Sus scrofa: one gene and its partner. Each later gene encodes a partner of the first gene's protein in a complex. Links are inferred from orthologs where the notes say so. Each region holds a gene or a part of one and is shown on either strand. Other genes may lie near its edges. The genes, in order: STAP1 and LAT2.

Evidence for each region.
Region 2: the proteins of STAP1 (region 1) and LAT2 are in contact, whole or in part, in a crystal structure (PDB 3MAZ), measured with the Homo sapiens proteins. The link is inferred for Sus scrofa from reciprocal best matches to the Homo sapiens genes STAP1 and LAT2. Residues at the interface, in NP_001304698.1 of Homo sapiens: Arg184, Arg203, Pro204, Gly205, Ser206, Ser212, Ile215, Gln217, Ile219, Lys225, His226, Tyr227, Lys228, Glu239, Leu240, Glu241, Tyr255, Phe256, Glu259, Thr260, Arg261, Asn263, Leu264; in NP_054865.2 of Homo sapiens: Asn134, Ser135, Tyr136, Glu137, Asn138, Val139, Leu140, Ile141, Lys143.

Annotation. Positions count from the first base shown.
Region 1 is NC_010450.4:65,317,243-65,321,675, forward strand, and holds the start of STAP1 (signal-transducing adaptor protein 1), read left to right. Parts: upstream 1-1,618; 5' UTR 1,619-1,844; intron 1,845-3,351; exon of another isoform or gene 3,352-4,057; intron 4,058-4,433. UniProt on the Homo sapiens protein: In BCR signaling, appears to function as a docking protein acting downstream of TEC and participates in a positive feedback loop by increasing the activity of TEC.
Region 2 is NC_010445.4:11,352,432-11,356,907, forward strand, and holds the start of LAT2 (linker for activation of T-cells family member 2 precursor), read left to right. Parts: upstream 1-1,441; 5' UTR 1,442-1,719; intron 1,720-3,799; exon of another isoform or gene 3,800-3,881; coding exon of another isoform or gene 3,882-3,896; exon of another isoform or gene 3,897-4,267; coding exon of another isoform or gene 4,268-4,406; intron 4,407-4,476. UniProt on the Homo sapiens protein: Involved in FCER1 (high affinity immunoglobulin epsilon receptor)-mediated signaling in mast cells.

The DNA of each region.
Region 1 (4,433 bases):
CAAGAAAAAGAAAAATACTGATTCAGAAAGATTCCTGCCCCCCCAATATTCATAATAGTTTTATTTACAGTAGCCAAGATATGGAAGCTACCTAAGTTACCATCAATAAATGAATGAAGATGTGTGTGTGTGCAATGGAATACTGCTGGACCACAAAAAAGAATGAAATCTTGCCATTTCTAACAGCATGGATGGACTTAGAGGGTATTAGGCTTTGTGAAATAGTGAAACAAAGAAAGACAAATGCTGTATGATTTCACTTATATGTGGAATCTAAAAAACAAAACAAAAAAACAAACTTAACAGAAACAGTTATAGAGAGAACAAACAGGAAGTTCCCAGATGGGAGGGGTGTGGCAGGAGGGGAGAAATTGGTGAGGAAGATTAAGAGATACAAATTTTCATTTGCAAAATAAATGAATCACAGGTATGAAATGTACAGTGTAATGAATATAGTCAATAAATACATAATAAAATACATTACCTATTGAATAAATTTATTAATCAATAATTTCAAGGAGTTCCCATCATGGCACAGCAGAAACAAATCTGACTAGGCAGTATGAGGTTGCAGGTTCAATCCCTGGCCTCACTCAATGGGTTAAGGATCCGGCGTTGCCGTGAGCTGTAGTATAGGTCGCAGATGGGGCTTGGATGTGACGTTGCTGTGGTTCTGGTGTATGCCAGCAGCTGTAGCTCTGATTAGATCCCTAGCCTGGAAACCTCCATATGCCACAGGTGCACCCCTAAAAAGACAAAAGGACAAAAAAAAAGAGCTTCAAGAGCTGAGCAAATAGATTTTTTTAACTTGTAATGCTTTAACAAATGTCATCGCCTACTCAGTTTTTTTTTTTTTTTTTTTTTTTAGGGAAGAGGGATTAAAAGTTAACTTTGAAATCAGGCAACCCTGGCTTCCACTCTACTCCACTAATATAAAGGGCAGGTTAATTAAACTATAACTTTCTCGATTCTCTTGTTTTTAAAAGGGGAATAACATTAAAGTTGTTGAGATATGGATTAATTCCTTTTAAGACCTAGTAGAAATGCCTAGAACATAGCAAGAATTCAATAAATAATGCTATGAGTGTTATTATGGAGATTTTTAGACTTGACCTAGTAGAAGTTTTGTAAACTGTGCTACATTATATAATTTGGTCTCAGATTTGGAATAGATAACACACACTACCATTTATTGAGCACATAGTGTACAGCAAGTTCTACCCTAAATACTCTCCATGCAGTAACCTATTTAATTTTTAGAACATTCCTATGAGAAAACATTTTATAGACAACAGAACTGGGACAGACTGTAAGTAACTTGCCCAAGATCACACCCCCATTAAATGACAGAGCTGGGGGTGAACCCCTGGATTCTGACTCCAGAACTGAGCACTAAATCACTGTACTCTTTTTACCTTTCCATGAGAACTTTTAGCAAGTGCAATCACAGAAGTAAAGTTCCATATGTACAATCATCTTCCCTCCATTACTGGAAATAGTAATTCTCAGAGGCATTTTGAGGAACCTGAAATGTGATGACATATACTGGTATGCAATGCAGGGGGTGTTGGCAATGAACTGGTTTGTTCTAGGGAGAAAATGGAGCAGCACCCTTATGAAAACAAAAAGTTACGGAGAGTCCGCATCACCCCAAATTTTCAGTGCTCTCTGCATCTGTCGTAATACTTCATAGCTCCACCACATTTTTGGCATCCTAAAATAAGGTTGCTAGTTGATGGAGTAATGTTTATAAAACCCAGACTTTGTCCTTACAGATCCCTTTACATCCAAAATACATCAAGATCAATCTTAATGAACTGCTATGACAGTTGACTTGCACCTAGGTAAGTGGTATGTGTGTGTTTATGTATTTATGAATTATGTGTATTAGTGTGTATATGGAGGAAAAGGTATACAGAAATTTAACTTGAAAAAGAAGTAGAAACTTTTAGTTATTTATGATTTTATGTTGTAGATAATTTCAAATTTGTGATTAGTAAAATTCTATTAAAGAACATTTTATTTTATTTTATTTTTTAAATTAATTTAATTTTATTTTTTAAATTAATTTTATTTATTTATTTATTTTGTGTGTGTGTGTGTGTGTGTGTGTGTGTGCTTTTGCCATTTCTTGGGCCACTCCCGCAGCACATGGAGGTTTCCAGGCTAGGGGTCGAATCATAGCTGCAGCTGCCGGCCTATGCCAGAGCCACAGCAACAAGGGATCCGCCGGATCCTTAACCCACTGACAGGAACTCCTCTATTAAAGAACATTTTAGACCTTACCATGACATTTCAAAAATCAGTCTGGGGGTTCCTGTCATGGCACAGTGGTTAACGAATCCGACTAGGAACCATGAGGTTTTGGGTTTGATCCCTGGCCTAGGTCAGTGGGTTAAGGATCCTCCATTGCCGTGAACTGCGGTGTAGGCCGCAGACAAGGCTCACATCCAGAGCTGCTGTGGCTCTGGCGTAGGCCAGTGGCTACAGCTCTGATTAGGCCCCTAGCCTGGAAACCTCCATATGCCTCGAATGCGGCCCCAGAAAAGACAAAAAGACAAAAAAATAAAAAATAAATAAAAAATCAATCTGTAGAGTTTCCTTGTGACTCAGCAGGTTAAGAATCCAGCATTATCACTGCAGTGGTTTGGGTCACTTAGTGGCATGGGTTCCACCCCTGGCCCAGGAACATTTACATGCCCTGAGCGCAGCCAAAAATAAATAAATAAATAAATAAATAAATTTGTTCTAGAGATTATAACATAGCTGCAGTCACAACTTAAAGTTTGCTTTATTTCTAATTGACTTAATCTGGCAATATGTCCATCAACTGGTGAATGAATAAATAAGTCATAGTGGGCCCACACTATGGAATACTCCTCAGCAACAAAAACAAATTACTGACACACAACAACACAGATGAACCTCAAAAGTTTCATCTGAAAGAAGCCAGACATCAAAGGCTATCTGCTGTAGCAGTGCACGTATGTGACTACATAAAACTGTAAGAACAGAAAGAGATATTGTTTACCAGGGCATGAGGCCAGATGAGGAAGAAGATATTGACTCCAAAGAGCCAGGAGGGAACTTTTTGCAGTGATGGAAATAATTTATGCCTTGATGATGATGGTGGTTATATGACTCCATGTATTTGTCAAAACTCTTAGAACTGTGCCCCTAAAAAAAGGGTGACCTTTGCTGTAAATTATACCTCAATAAACTTGACTTGAGAAATTAAGAGCAAGAGAGGGAAACACATAAACCAAATGCAATGTGTGAATTTTGACCAGAGTCTGGTTCAGATCAAAGAAGCTATATGGGTTGGGTAATTTGCTCTAGGAAACCAGCACCATGGTGTCCAGCTGCAAGATTGGCTATCCACCCTCAAAAGCAACCTGGCCAGTTTAGGAGCCAAATGCCCTGGATTGCTGGACTCTGGGGCCAGTTATCTGCACCTGGAGGTAATGGACAGGATTTTGTTCCCAGCATCACCTTTGGTCACACTGTGGTGCAAAGCTCTGATACAAAGCTCTGAAGGCATCTTGGCCAGGACCATTTCTCTGACATGCACATGATGGTATCCAGGCCAGAACACTGGGTAAAGCCAATGGCTGTAGCAGGCACCAGTCAATACATGTTTCATCTTGAGTCTACTGAGGACCTTGGGGCTTTGATTAAAGACATTCAGGAGAATGGAAGGAAGGTTGGCCTTGCTACCAAACCAGGAACTACACTTGAGTATTTCGCACCTTGGTTATGACAGTGGAACCTGGGTTTGGAGGGCAGAAATTCATGGAAGATATGATGGCAAAGTTTCACTTTGAGGACCCAATTCCTGTCTTCGGACATAGCGGTTGATGAGGAAGTAGGTCCTGACACCACCCATAAGTGAGCTGAGGCAGGAGCTAAAATGACGGTGTCTGGCTGAGCCATAGTGAGGAGTGAAGACCCCAGATCTATGATCAACCTGTTAAGAAAGCTTTGCTCAGCAGGTAAACAGCTCAACATAGTATTCGAGAGGACTCAGGTTCATCTCTGGCCTCATTCAGTGAGTTAAGGATTCAGTGTTGATACAAGGTTCAGCAAAGTTTGCAGATATGTCTCAGATCCAGTGTTTCTGTGGCTATGGTGTAGGCTGGCAGCTGCAGCTCCGACTCGACCCCTAGCCTGGAAACTTCCATACGCCATAGGTGTGGCCCTAGGAAGGAAGGAAAATTTGTTCAGAAGCTGCTCAGAAACATGCTCTCCACTAATGAAACCTCTAGGAGTCCCAGGTTTCTGCTCATGAGATCTTTTTACTGGAAAATAAAAATACTGACTACCAAATCATACTACAATGAAGGCAGTGATGCTTTTCTGAGGAATATTCATTCCTATGACTAAAATATACAGAAGAATTCTCTTGTGGCACAGCATGTTAATGGTCCAGCACT
Region 2 (4,476 bases), on another chromosome or scaffold:
GTCCTTGTGTCACAGTTTGCCGTGGAGACAACTTCTGGCACTCTGCCCAGGGATCTCGGGTCCCTGCGCTACCCTTCTCTCCCACAGGGTGGCAGCAGAGGGCGCCCAGCCCCTGTGTTTCTGTTTCGGTTCTGGCAGGGCCTCCTGGGGGCACTTCCACTGCGGCTGGACTGCCTGGCCTGGTCTGGGACGTCCGGGCCACCCCAGGCTGGGGCTGAAAGCCCCGCCCCAGCCAAGACGGGCCCCAGAGCTCGGGAGCCCAGGCTCTGAGATGCCAGGCAGGTGGGGGTTGGGAGACCCTCATGGGGTGGCGTGCCACTAAGAGTTCAGTGGCCTTGGACAAGGTGTTTAGTGACACATAACAGGAGGCCCTGGAGAATGTGTGCTGCGTGTGGGGCACCCACCTCTCAGCACCGTTCTCACCTCTGAAGGAAGTGCCCAGGGGCTGGGCAGCAGGTGGAGAGCCTGGGGGCTGGGTCCTAACTGCCCTGCTTTCCCCCCACCCCGGCCCGGGCCTGCCGCCTGCCTGGGGCCAGCTCCACGCCTCCACGAGCCTCATCTGGAAAATGGGGGTGAGAAGGCTCCTGGGACTGAAGGAGGAGCCGGGATTGTCCTTCCTTCTATCCTCCAGCGTTGTCTCTTCACCTCAGTGGCCTCTCCATCCATCTCTCTTTGTCTCTGGCTGTTTTTTCTCTAGAGGGCCGCACCCACGGCATGTGGAAGTTCCCAGGCCAGGGGCCAGCTGGAGCTGCAGCTGCCGGCCTGCACCACAGCCACAGCAACGCCGGATCTGAGCCACATCTGCAGCCTACACCACAGCTTGTGGTAACGCTGGAACATTAACCCCCTGAGAGGGGCCAGGGTTTGAACCTGCATCCTCTTGGATACTAGTTGGGTTCTTAACCCCTTGAGCCACAATGGGAACTCCTCTGGCTCTTTGTTATTATTATTATTGTTTTTGTTTTTTGTTTTTTACCTTTTCTAGGGCCTCACCGGTGGCATATGGAGGTTTCCAGACTAGAGGTCCAACTGGAGCTGGAGCCGCCAGCCGACACCACAGCCACAGCAACGCGGGATCCTTAACCCACTGAGCGAGGCCAGGGATTGAACCCGCAACCCCGCGGTTCCTAGTCAGATTCGTTAACCACTGAGCCACGACGGGAACTCCTGGCTCTTTGTCATGTCTGGCCTGGCTTGCATCTCTCTGCGCCCATCCACCCATGTCCCATGGGTATGGGTGTGGACGTGTATTTCTGTGTTTCTGTGTTTTCAGCGTGTCTCTCTCCGTGTCTTCCCACTCTTTGTCCCTGCCTGTGCGTGATATGCAAGCAGCCCTATTTCATGCTCTTTCTCCCTGTCCCCCTCTGTCTCTTCCCCTCTGTGAGGCCTGTGTGTGTTGTGGTTGTGTGTGTGTATTTAGTGTGTGTTGTGTGTGTGTCCGTGCACGTCTCTCTCTCTGCCTGACTGCCTCCGTCTTGTTCTCTGTCTCTCTCTGTCTCCGCCTCCGTCTTGGTCTCTGTCTCTGTCTCTCTCTGTCTCTGCCTCTGTGAGAGCCGAGCCTGTCCGGCAGAGCAGCGGATGTGTGAGGGATGATTCAGTGGCTGACAGGAAGCCCGCCGCCTTGCCTGCTGCCCGCCAGTGTCTGTGGCGTTGGCATCGGCTCGGGCAGGTGTGTGGGCTCAGGATGAGGTGGCCGCAGTGAGGAGCGCCTGCTCTCAGGTAAGCCTTTCCCAGGGGTGCCTGGAGCCTGGCCCCAAGGCAGGGGTCCTGAGCTGTCCCCAGACACCCCACAGGGGATGGGAGTGGCCTCGCTGGCCGAGCAGGAGCACTTGGCTGCCGGCTGGGGGTGGGGGTGGGGGCTGGGAAGAAGCCAGGCCGCCCGGCACCCCCTGCCTTGGCCCCGGCACTGTCCTGGCACCCCTGGCTAGGGGGCCCTCACCCCAGACCCTGCAGCACTAGAGGTGCAGCTATTTCTGGGGCTCCGGCTACTCTCCTGCCCCCATTTTCCCCAGCCCAGCCCGCACAGCCCTGGGGAGCCCCAGGGCAGCCGCTCCCCGGGGCAGGCCTGTGAGCCTGAGTTTCTTCATCTGTATAATGGGACTGGAGCTGCCCTGCCACAGGGCTATGGGAGGTCGGGTGAGACGCTACAGACGGGCAGGCCCAGGTCCTGCCCTGGGCCAGGGAGAAGCGGCTGTCCCGGCCGTCCCGAGCCCCAGCCAGCTCGCTCCTGTGCGGCTGGAGGAACTACAGGCCCTGGGCTGCTCGTGGTGGCCGCTCTGTTCACCATCCCCCACCCCTGCCCCAGAACAAGGGCTGCCGTCCGGGCCCCTGCACCTGCCGCTGGAGCGTAAAGAGCCTCCATTGGAGTCCTCCTGGCCTCATCGGAAGGCCAAGGTCATTTGGGAAAATGGAGCAGAGCCCCGCGGATAAAGCCTTCTCAGGGCTTGGGCCGGACCTCTGGCTCCCCGCTTAGCCCCCAGAGCCTGCCCTTCGGCCCTAGGGGTCCCAGGTTCCCCTTCTCCAGCATGAGGAGGGCTGGGAGGCCGGGCAGGAGGGCCACCAAGGCGCCTTGGGGACGGGAGGTGGGTGCTGAGGCTCGCTCAGCCCAGCCCCGAGAGCTTTTCCGCCATCGGCTTGTTGCAAACCTTGTTCATATGAAAACTGCCCACTTCCCTTTCTGCTATTTTGGCCCCGCAGGCCACGGGCTGAGGGCCTCCCCTCCCCACCCCACCCAGCCCTGCCGGCCCCTAGGGGCCCTCCTGCGGCTGCGAGGCCTGGCTCTGCTGGGGCCCAGCCCCTCCGCCTCCCTGTCCCCCGCCCACCTGCTCTCAGACCTGGATGGGAAAGGAGGAAAGCGAACAGATTGATTCCGTCTGGGGGGCAGCCACAGAGGTTTTCCTCAAACGAGTGTCTTTTAAAAAATATTGTGTACATCTTTAAAACGTCCTGTAAGGAAGGATTCACGTAGCAGAGTGTAGGCCCGGGCGTCAGCCCACCCTGGGAGCGGATGCCGGCTCTGACCGCTCAGCTGTGTGACCTCAGAAGGAGTACTCACCTCTCTGGGCTTCCCTCTCCTCCCTCGGAAGGCAGGAGCTGGCGTCTCCGAGGTGATGCTCTGCCTGTCTTGGACAACTGGGGGGCTGGGCAAAGGCCACACTCTCTTCAGATCCCAGCCCCTCCCAGGGTCCCCGCACAACGCCCCCCGCCCCCGTGTTGGACAGTTGTTGAGGGGGCTTAGACCTGCAGATCTTGGGGACCAGGCAAGGCAGGTTTCAGGTAGGGTTGCCTCATACTGTTCACTGCAGGCCGTCCAGCCAGCTCTGGCCCCAACAGGCTGCGGCTGCCGCTTTCCATCCTTTGGGGACCGTGGTGCTGGCAAGTCATGGTGGTCCCAGCCAACTGTGCCCCACTAGCCTGCTCTAGCACCTGGCAGGCGTCAGTTCAGTGCTGGGCCTCACACGACCAACCTGAGGGTTGAAAGTCATTTCCCCGGTTTAACAGAGGGGCAACCGGAAGCCGGGGATGCTGGGCCAGAATTGGAAACCTTATGCCCCGCTCCCTTCCCTCACGCACGGCCAGGGGTAGAAATGGGCTTGGGCTGGGGGCACCCCGAAGTGTGCGTCTTGTCCCAGGCAAGGCGGCTTTCTGACGGGCGGGGTCCTCTGGGAGGGAGGGTGGCAGAGGTCAGCAGCCCAAGTCCTGGGGCCTCAACCCCCAGGACAAGGGTGTGGACTTGCTCTGGGGTCTTAAGCGAAATCCGGGAGTGGCCAGGGCTGGACCCTCCCCCTGGCTCTTGCAGGGAGCATCTGTGCGACAGCCTCTCCCCGTGTGTCTCTGCCTGAATCTCCTCGGGGGCAGAAAGTCTCTGTCTTGACCAAAGGATGGAAATGCCAAAGGTGGGAGCTCGAGGGACCCGTCCAAGCAGCTGGAAATAAGACACTGGGCAACGTCTCTTCTGAGCCAGGCCAGACATGCTCGTCCTCCCAACAATGGTTTGAGGAAACACAGGCTTGATCCCCATTTTATAGAGGAGGAAACTGAGGCCAAGAGACTCTGAGGCAGGGGCAGGGGTCCCCACTCCAAGGCCAGGTGCTCGCAACCTCACGCTCTGGCGGGGGCGGGGAGCAGACCCCCCAAGTCGAGGGAGGGAGGAGGGTGTGTGGGCTCAGAGGGCGGTGATCAGGCTCCGAGAGGAGGGGGGCCGAGATCCACTCGGCCACCATCCTGGGCTGACCAGGTCATCTTTCTCTCCTGTGGGGGCCGCCAGGTCACGAGGTTTGGAAATTCTCGTGTTCCAGCTGACTCATTCGGTGTTTGGGGGAAGGAGAGGTGGCTTCTCCATGTCGCAATCATGCGTAGAGAATCCTCCTTGTCATCCCGGCCACAGGGATCCAGGAGGCCGAGTGGTGAGGGCCCAGGGGGCGCAGTGCGGGCCTCGGGGGAGCCCGGAGCAGGAGGTGGGCAGTGCAAAGCTCG